Astyanax mexicanus: one gene and its partners. The protein of the gene in region 3 binds, or shares a complex with, the protein of the main gene of each other region. Links are inferred from orthologs where the notes say so. Each region holds a gene or a part of one and is shown on either strand. Other genes may lie near its edges.

The links.
Region 1: the proteins of ccna2 (region 3) and rb1 are in contact, whole or in part, in a crystal structure (PDB 1H25), measured with the Homo sapiens proteins. The link is inferred for Astyanax mexicanus from reciprocal best matches to the Homo sapiens genes CCNA2 and RB1. Residues at the interface, in NP_001228.2 of Homo sapiens: Met210, Ile213, Leu214, Trp217, Glu220, Glu224, Arg250, Leu253, Gln254, Tyr280, Ile281, Thr282, Asp283, Thr285; in NP_000312.2 of Homo sapiens: Pro869, Lys870, Pro871, Leu872, Lys873, Lys874, Leu875, Phe877, Asp878.
Region 2: the proteins of ccna2 (region 3) and rbl1 are in contact, whole or in part, in a crystal structure (PDB 1H28), measured with the Homo sapiens proteins. The link is inferred for Astyanax mexicanus from reciprocal best matches to the Homo sapiens genes CCNA2 and RBL1. Residues at the interface, in NP_001228.2 of Homo sapiens: Met210, Ile213, Leu214, Asp216, Trp217, Glu220, Glu224, Arg250, Gly251, Lys252, Leu253, Gln254, Tyr280, Ile281, Thr282, Asp283, Thr285, Tyr286; in NP_002886.2 of Homo sapiens: Gly654, Ser655, Ala656, Lys657, Arg658, Arg659, Leu660, Phe661, Gly662, Glu663.

Annotation. Positions count from the first base shown.
Region 1 is NC_064424.1:7,183,581-7,187,336, forward strand, and holds the start of rb1 (retinoblastoma-associated protein), read right to left. Parts: upstream 2,509-3,756; 5' UTR 2,288-2,508; coding exon 2,190-2,287; intron 1-2,189. UniProt on the Homo sapiens protein: Tumor suppressor that is a key regulator of the G1/S transition of the cell cycle. The hypophosphorylated form binds transcription regulators of the E2F family, preventing transcription of E2F-responsive genes.
Region 2 is NC_064412.1:57,366,119-57,369,874, forward strand, and holds the start of rbl1 (retinoblastoma-like protein 1), read left to right. Parts: upstream 1-744; 5' UTR 745-862; coding exon 863-1,024; intron 1,025-2,062; coding exon 2,063-2,196; intron 2,197-3,217; coding exon 3,218-3,418; intron 3,419-3,756. UniProt on the Homo sapiens protein: Key regulator of entry into cell division. Directly involved in heterochromatin formation by maintaining overall chromatin structure and, in particular, that of constitutive heterochromatin by stabilizing histone methylation.
Region 3 is NC_064417.1:25,275,447-25,279,202, forward strand, and holds the start of ccna2 (cyclin-A2), read right to left. Parts: upstream 2,288-3,756; 5' UTR 2,039-2,287; intron 1,895-2,038; 5' UTR 1,866-1,894; coding exon 1,671-1,865; intron 432-1,670; coding exon 197-431; intron 111-196; coding exon 4-110; intron 1-3. Other genes in the region: bbs7 (Bardet-Biedl syndrome 7 protein), read right to left, coding at 3,648-3,756. UniProt on the Homo sapiens protein: Cyclin which controls both the G1/S and the G2/M transition phases of the cell cycle. Functions through the formation of specific serine/threonine protein kinase holoenzyme complexes with the cyclin-dependent protein kinases CDK1 or CDK2.

The DNA of each region.
Region 1 (3,756 bases), on a different chromosome or scaffold from region 3:
AGCTGCATTCATCTTTCCTTTCCTGTCCCTGAAGCTAAAAAAAAAAAAAAAAAAAAAAATACCACAAAAGCATGATGCTGCCACCACCATGTTTCACTGTTGGGATGGTATTGGGCAGGTAATGAGCAGTGCATGTTCAATCCTTATCTCAACAGACCAGAGAATCTTATTTCTTATAGCCTGGGAGTCCTTTATGTGTTTTTGGTAAACTCTATGTGGGCTTTTATATGTCTTGCACTGGCTGTCTGTCTATCTTAATGAATGTCTCTTGTCTGTCTAGCTATCTGAATAGCAGTATTAAGACTATTTGAGTTAAATCAGTAAAACAGTCTGTCTGTGTACCTGTCTATATCTATATATTAGAAAGGCAGCAGTGAGACTGTTTCAAGTTACATCAGCAAAACAGTGTCTGTCTATCGAAATGCCTATTGAGACTGTTCGTGTTACATCAGTAACAGTGTGTCTGTCTGTCTGTCTGTCTGTCTGTCTGGCATCAGACTGTTTGAGTTAAGTTAAATTAGTAAAACAGTCTGTATCTCTATATATTAAACAGGCAGCATTTAGATTATTTTAGTTAAATCAGCAAAACACTCCGTCTGTCTGTCTTTCTATCTATCTATATGTTATCGCTGTGACTGTTCGAGTTAATCAGTAAAACAGTCTCCCACTATCTATATATTAGATTATAATGGTAGAATTAAGATTGTATGAGTTAAATCAGTAAAAAAAAGTATATGTACCTGTCTGTCTATCTTTATGTATATATTAGAATAGCAGCATTAAAATAGTTTGAGTTAAATCAGTGCAACAGTCTGTCTGTCTGTCTGATTATCTATCTGAATGGCAGCACTATTAGACTATTAGAGTTAAATCACTGCAACAGTGTATTTGTCCCACAATCTATTTGTCTGTGTGTCTTTCTGATTATATATCTATCTGAATGGCATCGCTATAATTGCTCAAGTTAAATCAGTAAAACAGTCCGTCTAATCTATCTGAATGTCTTTTTATCAGTCTATATCGATCTTTTTCTATGTGAATGGAATCACAGACACTGAGTTAAATGAGTAACACAGCCTGTCTATCTATTTGTCTATCTGTCTATATATACATATATATAATGGCAACATTGAGACTGTTTGAGTTAAATCAGTGTAACAGTGTCTGTCTGATTATCTATCTGAATGGCAGCATTGGGACTATTAGAATTAAATAAGTGATACAGTCAACCTGTCTAAAAAATCTGTCTTTCTGACTATCTATCTATATGACAGCATTAAGACTGATCCTACTAAATCAGTAAAACAGTCTGTCTGACTGAATAACAGCATTAAGGATATTTGAGTTAAATCAGTAAAACTGTCTGACTGAATAATAATATTAAGGATATTGGACTTAAATCAGTAATATTGTCTGACCGAATAACAACATTAAGGATATTGGAGTTAAATCAGTAAAACTGTCTGACTGAGTAACAACATTAAGGATATTTGAATTAAATCAGTAAAACTGTCTGACTGAGTAACAACATTAAAAATATTTGAGTTAAATCATTAAAACAGTGACTGAATAACAACATTAAGGATATTTGAGTTAAATCAGTAAAACTGTTTGACTGAATAACATCATTAAGGATATTTGAGTTAAATCAGTAAAACTGTCTGACTGAATAACAGCATTAAGGATATTTGAGTTAAATCAGTAAAACTGTTTGAATAACAGCGTTAATGATATTTGAGTTAAAGCAGTAAAACTGTTTGACTGAATAACAGCATTAAGGATATTTGAGTTAAATCAGTCTGATTAAATATCTATCTGAATGACAGCATTGAGGATATTCGAGTTAAATCAATGAAATGTGGAGTTAGAGTAAAGTTGATGTATTTAGTGGAGTATATCAGGATGTTATTGAAGGGAAGAAGGGGTTGTGTTGGGAAAATACGTGAGAATAACTTGTTGTGACGAGACTGTTGACAAAACAAAAGTTAGCTAGCAGGCTAACTAGCTCAGTTAGCTAACTCTGTAGCTAGTTAACTTGTGTAACTTACTGTAGGTTAGCTAGCAGACCGAGCTAACTCATAAACTATCTAACTACCCAAACTAATGATTAAACACAAGATATAAACAGAAGAGCGGACAGAGCGGCCGCGGAGAAACACGGAGCCGGATCAGCAGCGCGGGGTTCTTACTGTTGCGGGCTGATGGCGGAGCCGGACTGCCGGAGCTCCGGGGAAGAGGCGCCCCTCCGGCTGCTCCCGGTCCCGGAGCTGCGCTTTCTGGGCGGCATGGCTGATTAAATCCTTCGCGGGTCTTCAGACAGAGCGGGTTAGAGTGAATGGAGGTGTGGATCAGCTGTATGAGAGCTGGATCTTACTGATAACTGAATATACAGGTAATAAAAAACTGCAGGCAGGGAGTAAACCGGGTGAACAGGGGCCTCCCCGAAACCGCCTCCACTATCCAGCGCTGATCCCACAGCCTCAAACCGCGGGAAAACTCCGCAGCTCAACTTCCTGCTACACTCACGTCATTTCCGGAAACAAGAAAGCGTCAGAGACGGATTTTGGTACCTGAAACATTATTTTAAGTAAAATATCATACATACTTACTGCAAATTATAAATATTATATTTATAAATAATATTTATTGAAGAATATTAAAGTAAAATGTCATAAAAAGCCTTACAATTGTTCATATATGCAATATCACCACTTGTTTTCTATTTTTTTAATTAATTTTTTTAGCATGACACTTCTGTTTTTCCCCGCGGCACTGCTGTAACTGCTGTACTGTAAATTTCCCCCAACTGTGGGATTAATAAAGACTTATCCTAATTGTTAAATAAAATAATACTAATACTAATGTCTATTAAAATGGTTAATATTATTGGTCACTATGATTGGGAGATCGCTGGTTCAAATCCGTTCATGCAGTTTGCCATCAGCTGCTGGAGTCCTGAGAGAGCACAATTTTGCTTGCTCTCTCTGGGTGGGTGGATAGCACTCTTTTCTCTCATCACTCTAAAGGGTGATGTTGATCAGCACAAGGCATAATTGAGCTGTCGAGTGCACTGTGATGCTACTCCATAAAAAAGAGGCGGAGTCTGACTTCACATGTATCGGAGAAGGCATGTGTTAGTCTTCACCCTCCAGGTGTTGGGTCATCACTAGTGTTAGGGGGAGTCCTAATGAGTGGGTTGGGTAATTGGCTGTGTATATTGGGGAGAAATGGGCTTAAAAAATATTATTATTGGTATTTTTTTCTAGAGATGCATCAATGTGGGAGTTCTAGGCCGATATAACACATGTATATGTCTGCTGATGCCGATATACACAATAAACATAACTTACAGCGAGCCTAGACACCCCAGTATACGTATTTCACATGTTTTTAGTGGTTTAAACTGGTCCTTACATAGACTGTTTGCAACTTTAAACCCTGTTTTTCTTCATAACCATTACATCAAAACCATCCTAAACATCCAACATCTCAACCCGAATTTTCCCACACACACAGCGAGATTGGGCAGATTATTCCCTCTCTTTCTCTGTATTTATTTCTACATACAATACAAAATAGCTATAGTTTGTCCTTTTTTTCTCTCCACCCTTTTTATTTTTCCTGTTATTTTTATATTATACACTATGACCACAGAAACTATAATTATCTATAAACACTAACAAAGCTTAATTAGTCCTCCATGGGCGGTGATTAAAATTAACTTGTGCCCGGCGTCTCCAAGTCCTTTTCTGGCGT
Region 2 (3,756 bases), on a different chromosome or scaffold from region 3:
ATAGCAAGGCACTCAGTGCCGAAAATAGATAAAATAAACAGTACAATATATGCATTATAAATAATACAAAATCAAGAACACAGGAGTAATGGAAAAATATTTGACATTATATTACAATTAAAAAAACAACTATTGTCCTTAATCTTTGAATAGCTTGAAGCTTTTCAGTATTATTTGAATCCTATTTTTCACAATAGGTTTGTCTGTTTAAGTTTTTTTTTTGTTATATTTGTGAATTGTGTTTGTTTTATACAATGTTAATTTGGTCTAATATTGTGTCTATTTCATTATGTTGGATTTTAAGTTAATGCATAAAACACAGTAGAAAACAGCATGAAAATATAGTTACATTAAGGAGAAAAGGGGGAGAAAATCCTAAATATAAAGGCCAGTGAAAGCTCATCACAAATTTAAAAAGTAAAGTTTTTAGAAATGTCTTGTTTTTGGTCATTCTAAAGGATTTCAATATAGTAATGTAAATCCAGTAAAAAGATTAAAATATTTTGGTATTGGAGTCAAGTATTTACATCGGTAAATGTAGTATTTACTCAATAAATAAAAATATTAGTAATATATTGCTAATATAGGTCAATGTATGAAAAAAAACGCATATTATATCTCTAAAGTTCAGGTTCACAGAGATGTTGGTAAGTTATCTCGCCGCCATGTTTTATTATTGTTGTTGTCGCTCCGCGTGACGTAGGCAGGTTCTTGCCTCGCTCCCATTGGCTGAGAGCGCGCGGGTTTCGCGCCATTCGGGACCGCGAGCATTGTGGGATAGCGGCTGGAGGAACCGCGGCGCTCCGGTTCTTTGTTGATAAACCGGGTTTATAGAGTTTCAGCGCGGAGAGAAGCGGGAGGAATGCGGGGAAACGGGTCGGATTCCGGGCTCGGTGGGCCGGAGGACGGAGGGCTGATCCGGGAGCGGCTGGAGGCGCTGTGTCAGGAGCTGAACATGGACGAGGAGACCGCGGAGGAGGCTCTGGAGAACTTCACCTCCATCTGGAACACCTACACCCTGGAGGTAGACCAGCTCTTTACCCCCATAAACCAGCGTTACCCTTAAATAAACCACATAAATAAAGTATTTACTCTCATTTACAAGTGATTTATTCATTAAACTGTTATTTCTACGCGTTTATGTAACTGACAGGCAGAGCAGAGCAGCTGAAGCTTCTTTATTAAAGTGTATGTTTTAAAGCCCACAGCTGACCTGGGATCAGAGCAATCCCTTCCACCTTAAATTATTACAGTAGTCTGTGTTGGATCTTAAGGTGGAACGGACTATTCCAACATACAGTCAGCTGTGTGACAAACAAAAGAATAATAATAATATATTTCCCTAAAAAAAAACTTTTTAAAAGCTTGAGTATGATTTGCCTCTTTGACCAAACATTAAAAACTCATATAACCCGTTGTTTATAGGACTTTTGTTGTGTATCACTTTTAAAACATCCGGAATTTGTTGCTTTGTTTGTTTATTTAATTATGTATGTATTTGTGTATGTATGTATGTATGTATGTATGTATGTATGTATTTATTAATTAGAATAAAGCAAGACTTTACGAAAACTAACTATATCTCTACTCTGATAAACTTTTACAGTTTTACAGATACAGGTACCTGGGTTAAATAACACTGACCAGTGAATAAACAAACCACACACTACACTAAGGAAAAAAAAAAAATAAATAAATAAGTATATCTGAATATAAAAAATACCACAGAAGGACATATTGTGCTCATTACCAAATGTATATTTTGAATATCACACATAGAGCAGAAAATATAATAATAATAATAATAATAATAATAATAATAATAATAATAGAAGAACAGTTATGTACAACAGTCATAATGCTTCACAGTATGATAGCACAATATGTATGGAAATATCTTAATTGTAATGTATTCAAGGTTGCTATATTATAGTTATTTGTAGTACGTATATAACTAGAGATCTAGTCCTGGACTAGAATGCAGTACCTGTGTTTTAATGTTCTGTACAGAAGCGTCTCCTGGTCTGATTTTAATGGTGTGTATGATTGTATTCTCTCTCAGGGTGAGGTGGTTCACTGGCTGGCCTGTGCTCTGTACGCTGCCTGTAGAAAGGCTTCTATTCCCACTGTGGGGAGAGGACTGGTGGAAGGAAACTGCGTCTCCCTCACCAGGATACTGCGCTCCTCCAAACTCAGGTAAAGAGTTATTTGCACCTTTGTCTCATGTCATCATACGTTCTCATTAAAAACATTAGTTTGCCTAGCTTAGTGCAGCTTCGTATCCAGAAGTATCCCAACACCACCCATAACCCTTTGAATGTAATTGACGCAAATTGCGGCAAAAATCATGCTTGTTGTTTATACAACTTAATTACTCAGGAACGCATCTACGCACCAACCTGATCATACATTGTGACAAACAGGAAACCCTATTGTTTAAAAAAATCGAACTGACCCCCCGCTGAACTGAAGTGATTTTGAGAAATCTATTGTGAAATACACAGTGCACACGCAGCTTTCAGGTGCGCTCTGAGAGAGTCAGTGCTCACAGGCTTCAGTTATGGATGGGCAGCGACAGAAGCTCATCTGAATGAGGAGAATTACTGTTTTTTTCTATTTTGTATATATATATATATCTATATAGTGTATATTATAATTAAACAGCATTTATCTGATCATTTTGTTGAAGAACTCTTTATTATAATAGTTACTGTTATTATAAGCAGCTAATAGTAAATATCCAGTGTACTAAATCACTTTCATTAGATACGCCTGGTGCTGCTCATGTATTCTGTCGCAGTAATAAGCCATGTAATGAACTATCATCAAAATCCTTATTCTTTCCACTAGTATACACTCTAATCTAACTATTATTGAAAATAAAACACTTGTGTAAATTAATTTGTAGTCTGTACATAAAGTCTGTATAAAGAAAAGTAATAGCATGTGTCTTTCACCTCACATAACTGTGTTATAACGAGTAAAATGGGAACTGACAAAAACAGAGAAAAAACACACCAAAATAAGCTGGGGTTCAAAAGCTTAATGAGTGAAATCAGCTTCTTAATCAGTGGTGAGCAGCCATACTGAGGTAGTGGCCCAGCAAAATAGCACTGTTCACAAGGGTGTATAGAACCAAACAGAGCCTACTGAATTCAATAAAATACAGAAAACCACTATTCCATTATTCTGATCTTCCTCTTCTTCTCTCTTCCAGCCTGATTCAGTTCTTCAGTAAGATGAAGAAATGGGCGGACATGTCGAACCTCCTGCAGGACTTCCGGAACCGAATCAGCCACCTGGAGAGGAATTTTGAAGTGTCCACTGTGATTTTCCGTAAATTTGAGCCCATCTTTCTGGACATGTTTCAGAATCCTCAGGGTGAACCCCCCCGCGTGCCGAGAGGCAGGAAGCACAGGTGAATTTCCACTCGTGTCTTCATGTGTTCTCATCATCCATTAACTGTGTTAAATTTAAGTTATAATACTCTCGAGGTTCGTGCTATAACGTGTAATATTGGCACTGCTGTGCTGCGGTTGTAGGCACGAGGCCACAGGCCGAGTATAGAGTAGATGAGTACAGCAGTGCCAATATTACACTTTATAACTCGAACCTAGAGTGTATTATTGTTTTTGTATTATTATACCACAGTTCCATTATCACTGTTTTCTGAAAGATTTTAAAGAGTTAAAGAGGAGGAGAAAATAGGATCTATTTGGTTATAAAAACTCCACCAGTTAAAATAGTTCCATTGCT
Region 3 (3,756 bases):
TACCTCCATATCCCTTAGATGTGTGTGAATTTCAGCAGCGTAGTCTGTAACTTCATTTACATTTACCAGCCTCTCCTCACCTTCAATTATTGACATATCCATGGGAGAATCTATAACAAAAGAAGAAAGTGTTAGAACATTCAACGCAAAACACTCATACACTTCTATTTGCATACCAAAATCTGCCATGTCGTACCAAAACTGAGATCCATAGGCAGGTCGATAGTAGCAAGGGGCTGCCTTAACCGGGTTACTGTGGGGTTTAGTGTTAACGGGGAACAATCCATGGTGGCTTTTTTGGAAGAAACATGTTTCTTTGAGCAGGCACCATCAGGTTCATCAACATGAATCTGAAAAGCAGGCTGCTTGGAAGAGGGCTTTTCTGCACAACTTTTGCCATGGTCATCTGATCTGCAGGGCTGTACATTAACCTGGTAACACAAGGGAAAATACAAGCAATTAGCCTTTATAGTAAAATATTTTAAATCTACACTAACCCCGTTCAGTGTTTAAAAGCACTGAAATTACCAATTTCAGCCTTCATACACTAACCAATATATCTCCATGTTCTCAAGGCAAATTGTAAGTCAGTGCAGACAAACAAAACTATGAAAAAACAAATTAAGCAACATTGACAATCTTCAATAAAATATCAAATCCTGAGAGCTCCATTGTGCAGGGCTATATTACTGAACTAACTGAGCTGATGTATTTATGAGCTCAAAATAGGTTCAGTCGATAAATGGAAACATTTGTAAATTGCAAATGTCTATGCCTTTACCAAAACTGTCTGGGTATAATCATTTTTCCAAAACTTATCCAGGCCTGGAAAGTGTTTAAATTTCATGACCATACAAACCCTGACAAGCAAGAGTGTTACTTGTATTAGAAAATGTTTCTCTAATACTGGTGGTTAATTTTTGACCAGCTATACAAAAACACTACCAAATTTAGGGCTTAACAGATGCAGGTAACATTTAACAATAAGGATACATTAACTGTGCTTATAAAAGTAGGTCAACTAGTTATTTGACACCAACCTATTCAAAATATCACTACAATTTTTTAACCCCTGTACCAACACATTGGAAACATTCTTGAGAAAATAAGAAATAATTAATGGCTTAACTAGCATAAATTAATACTTTGACATTAAGTAACCATTTAACAAATGTTTTACTGTCGTAAGTGCTGTTTTTGTTAACCTTTATTGTAAAGTATTAGCTGCATGGCAGGGTGCCTAGAAGCACTGAGCAGCTGCAGCATAGCTAGTGTCACTCCTATGGAACCTATTGAGGTGGGGAAAATGGCGGTCTGGGACATGGAGGGAAGCTATTTGGCCATTTAAAACAAAAAACAGGACTAAAACGCATTTAATTACCACGTAATTCAGGTTTAAAGAAGTGTTAAACTTATAAAATGAAGACTTACAACATGAAATGCACTTAACAGATGCACGTAGGCCCATTTAAGCAGGTAGCTAGCTAGCTAACCATGCAGGTTAACCCATCCAGCCAACTAGTGCTGCTAGTTAAAAAATAATATCCAGCCTAGCTTACTAGATCTATAACAAGTGAGTTGACCGAGCAAAAGTAGGAACACAGAGTCTAAAGTCACATTAACAAAGTGTAACTAAAGTTTAGATCACCATTCACAAAACCCCCACAGACCTGTTTGGAGCCTCGCAGGGCGGGCTGTCTCCTCGGGTTGTTCTCCAGCACTCCCAACACGGTTCTGTTGGACGGTTTCGGGTTCACGTTCTCCTGGTTCTCCAGCCTACTCTTTACTGCTGCCGCTCCGCGCAGAGAGAGACGGTTCTCCTGGTTCTGGACGGATCCAGCTTCACTAACTTCGTGTGAGGACATTTCTGCAGCGTGTTAATAGTAAACTCAGGCTATAACGAGAAAAATAACACGATCAGCGAATCTAAAACAGCCCAGAACTATAATTTGTTTAATGTAAGATCCCACAGCGGCGCTCGGTAATCATTAAGCCGTTGTTAGAGACAGTTTAGGCGGATAGAGAGGGGTTGACCTACCGTGTGAGACACGCAGCAGCAGCAGAGTGTAGTTAAAGTTATTCAGCTGCTGATCAGACAAAAAATAAGAGTCATTTAAACTTCAGAACGCAATAAATAAACAACGCTAAACTACAGCTCGGCCTATAATTACACCGACACAAAAAGCGCCATAATCCGGATCAGAACCGCCTAAACTCGCTGTATTGACTCAGGCCGGGTTGTTTCAGTGCTGTCCAACCCGCCGCCGCTCCTGCTCCGGGTTTGTTTCTACCAGTTCAAGTAGCCCGCGACTACTCAAACCGACCAATCAGAGCGCAGCGCAGCGGAGCGTCACTAATCTACGGCAGCCGGGAGGGAGGCAGCGCGCGAGCCGTTGAGAAGTCGATGTAAGAGATTGATTGGCTCAGAGGAGAATTTAAACAGAGAATTGAGGAGAATATGGACAAAAGAGCACAATAGAAGGAACAGCCTGGAGATGGACCTAGTTTAGACCCTCCATAATAGATAAGACTGTTATAATATATTATTTATGTTTATCTGTTCTTTAAAAATAATGAAAAACTAAATAAAAGAAGAATAAAAAGAGAGTATTACAATGCAAAAGTGAAGAAAAAAACACATGAAGGAGAAGGACAAGAAAAAGGGTGGATTTTAGGGTCATTTAGCTATATGCAATAAAAGTAAAAAAAAAATAAAATAAATAAAGGTAGATTTTAATGCCACTTTGTCATTTAAAAATATGTGATAAAAGTACAAATAAAGGTAGATGTTAAGATTTGTATTTATTTATTCATTTATTTATATATAAATTACAGTGTTTATATCACACTGTCACACAAAGCAAATGTTTTTTTCAGGAGATCCTATTCAACATGTGGAAAATAACTTTATAAATATTAGTACAGAGCAAACATAATTAAGAGCAGAAGTCACCCACCAAGACGTTTCCTCTTTATTTTAATACCATTGCTGATCTACTGTTATACTCACCTGTGGAACAAACTTCCAGAGATCTTTCTTACGTCTGCAGAAACTGCTGGCTTATTTAAATCAGGGCTTAGTTAGTTGTAGTTTATGTTAACTTAGAATGTCCTTTAGATTTTTGATGGATTATTTATTAGCCTGTCCTATTCTGAAATGTGTATATCCAAAATGGCCAATGATTTTTTTAGCAATAAAACTTTTGCCCTTTGCAATGTCAAAAACAGAGCCCTTATCTCTATGAAAGGAATTTACTGTGGTTTAGTGAAACAAAATGTAACACTGATATATCACATTTCGTATGTATTTCAGATCTTCTTTAAATTCCAGATTAAACTAATTGTTTTCTGATCAATTGTTTTTCGTTTGTACAATTAACATTCTTGTACAAAAAGGTAAAATACCCTTAACAACACACACAAAACAGATAATGACTTGAAAAATTTATTACATAGAAAAATGACCCCACATAAAGTGAGTACATGAGCAATTTGTCTGAAAAACAGGGTGTCACTAATCTTACATAACACAACACATAACCTAACACAATCTCAGTATGGCATTGATACTTAAGCATCTGTTATACAGCAAATAAATACCACAGAAAAACATTACAATTTCAGTTTGATGACAGACTGATCTATCTTCATCCATCATTAAAAAACTCCATCAGAGAATTCAGGTCATAGTTGTCTAATATTTCAAGAAGTTGGGAAACCTTAGTTTTGACATTTTGTCCTTTAAATTTGAACTTG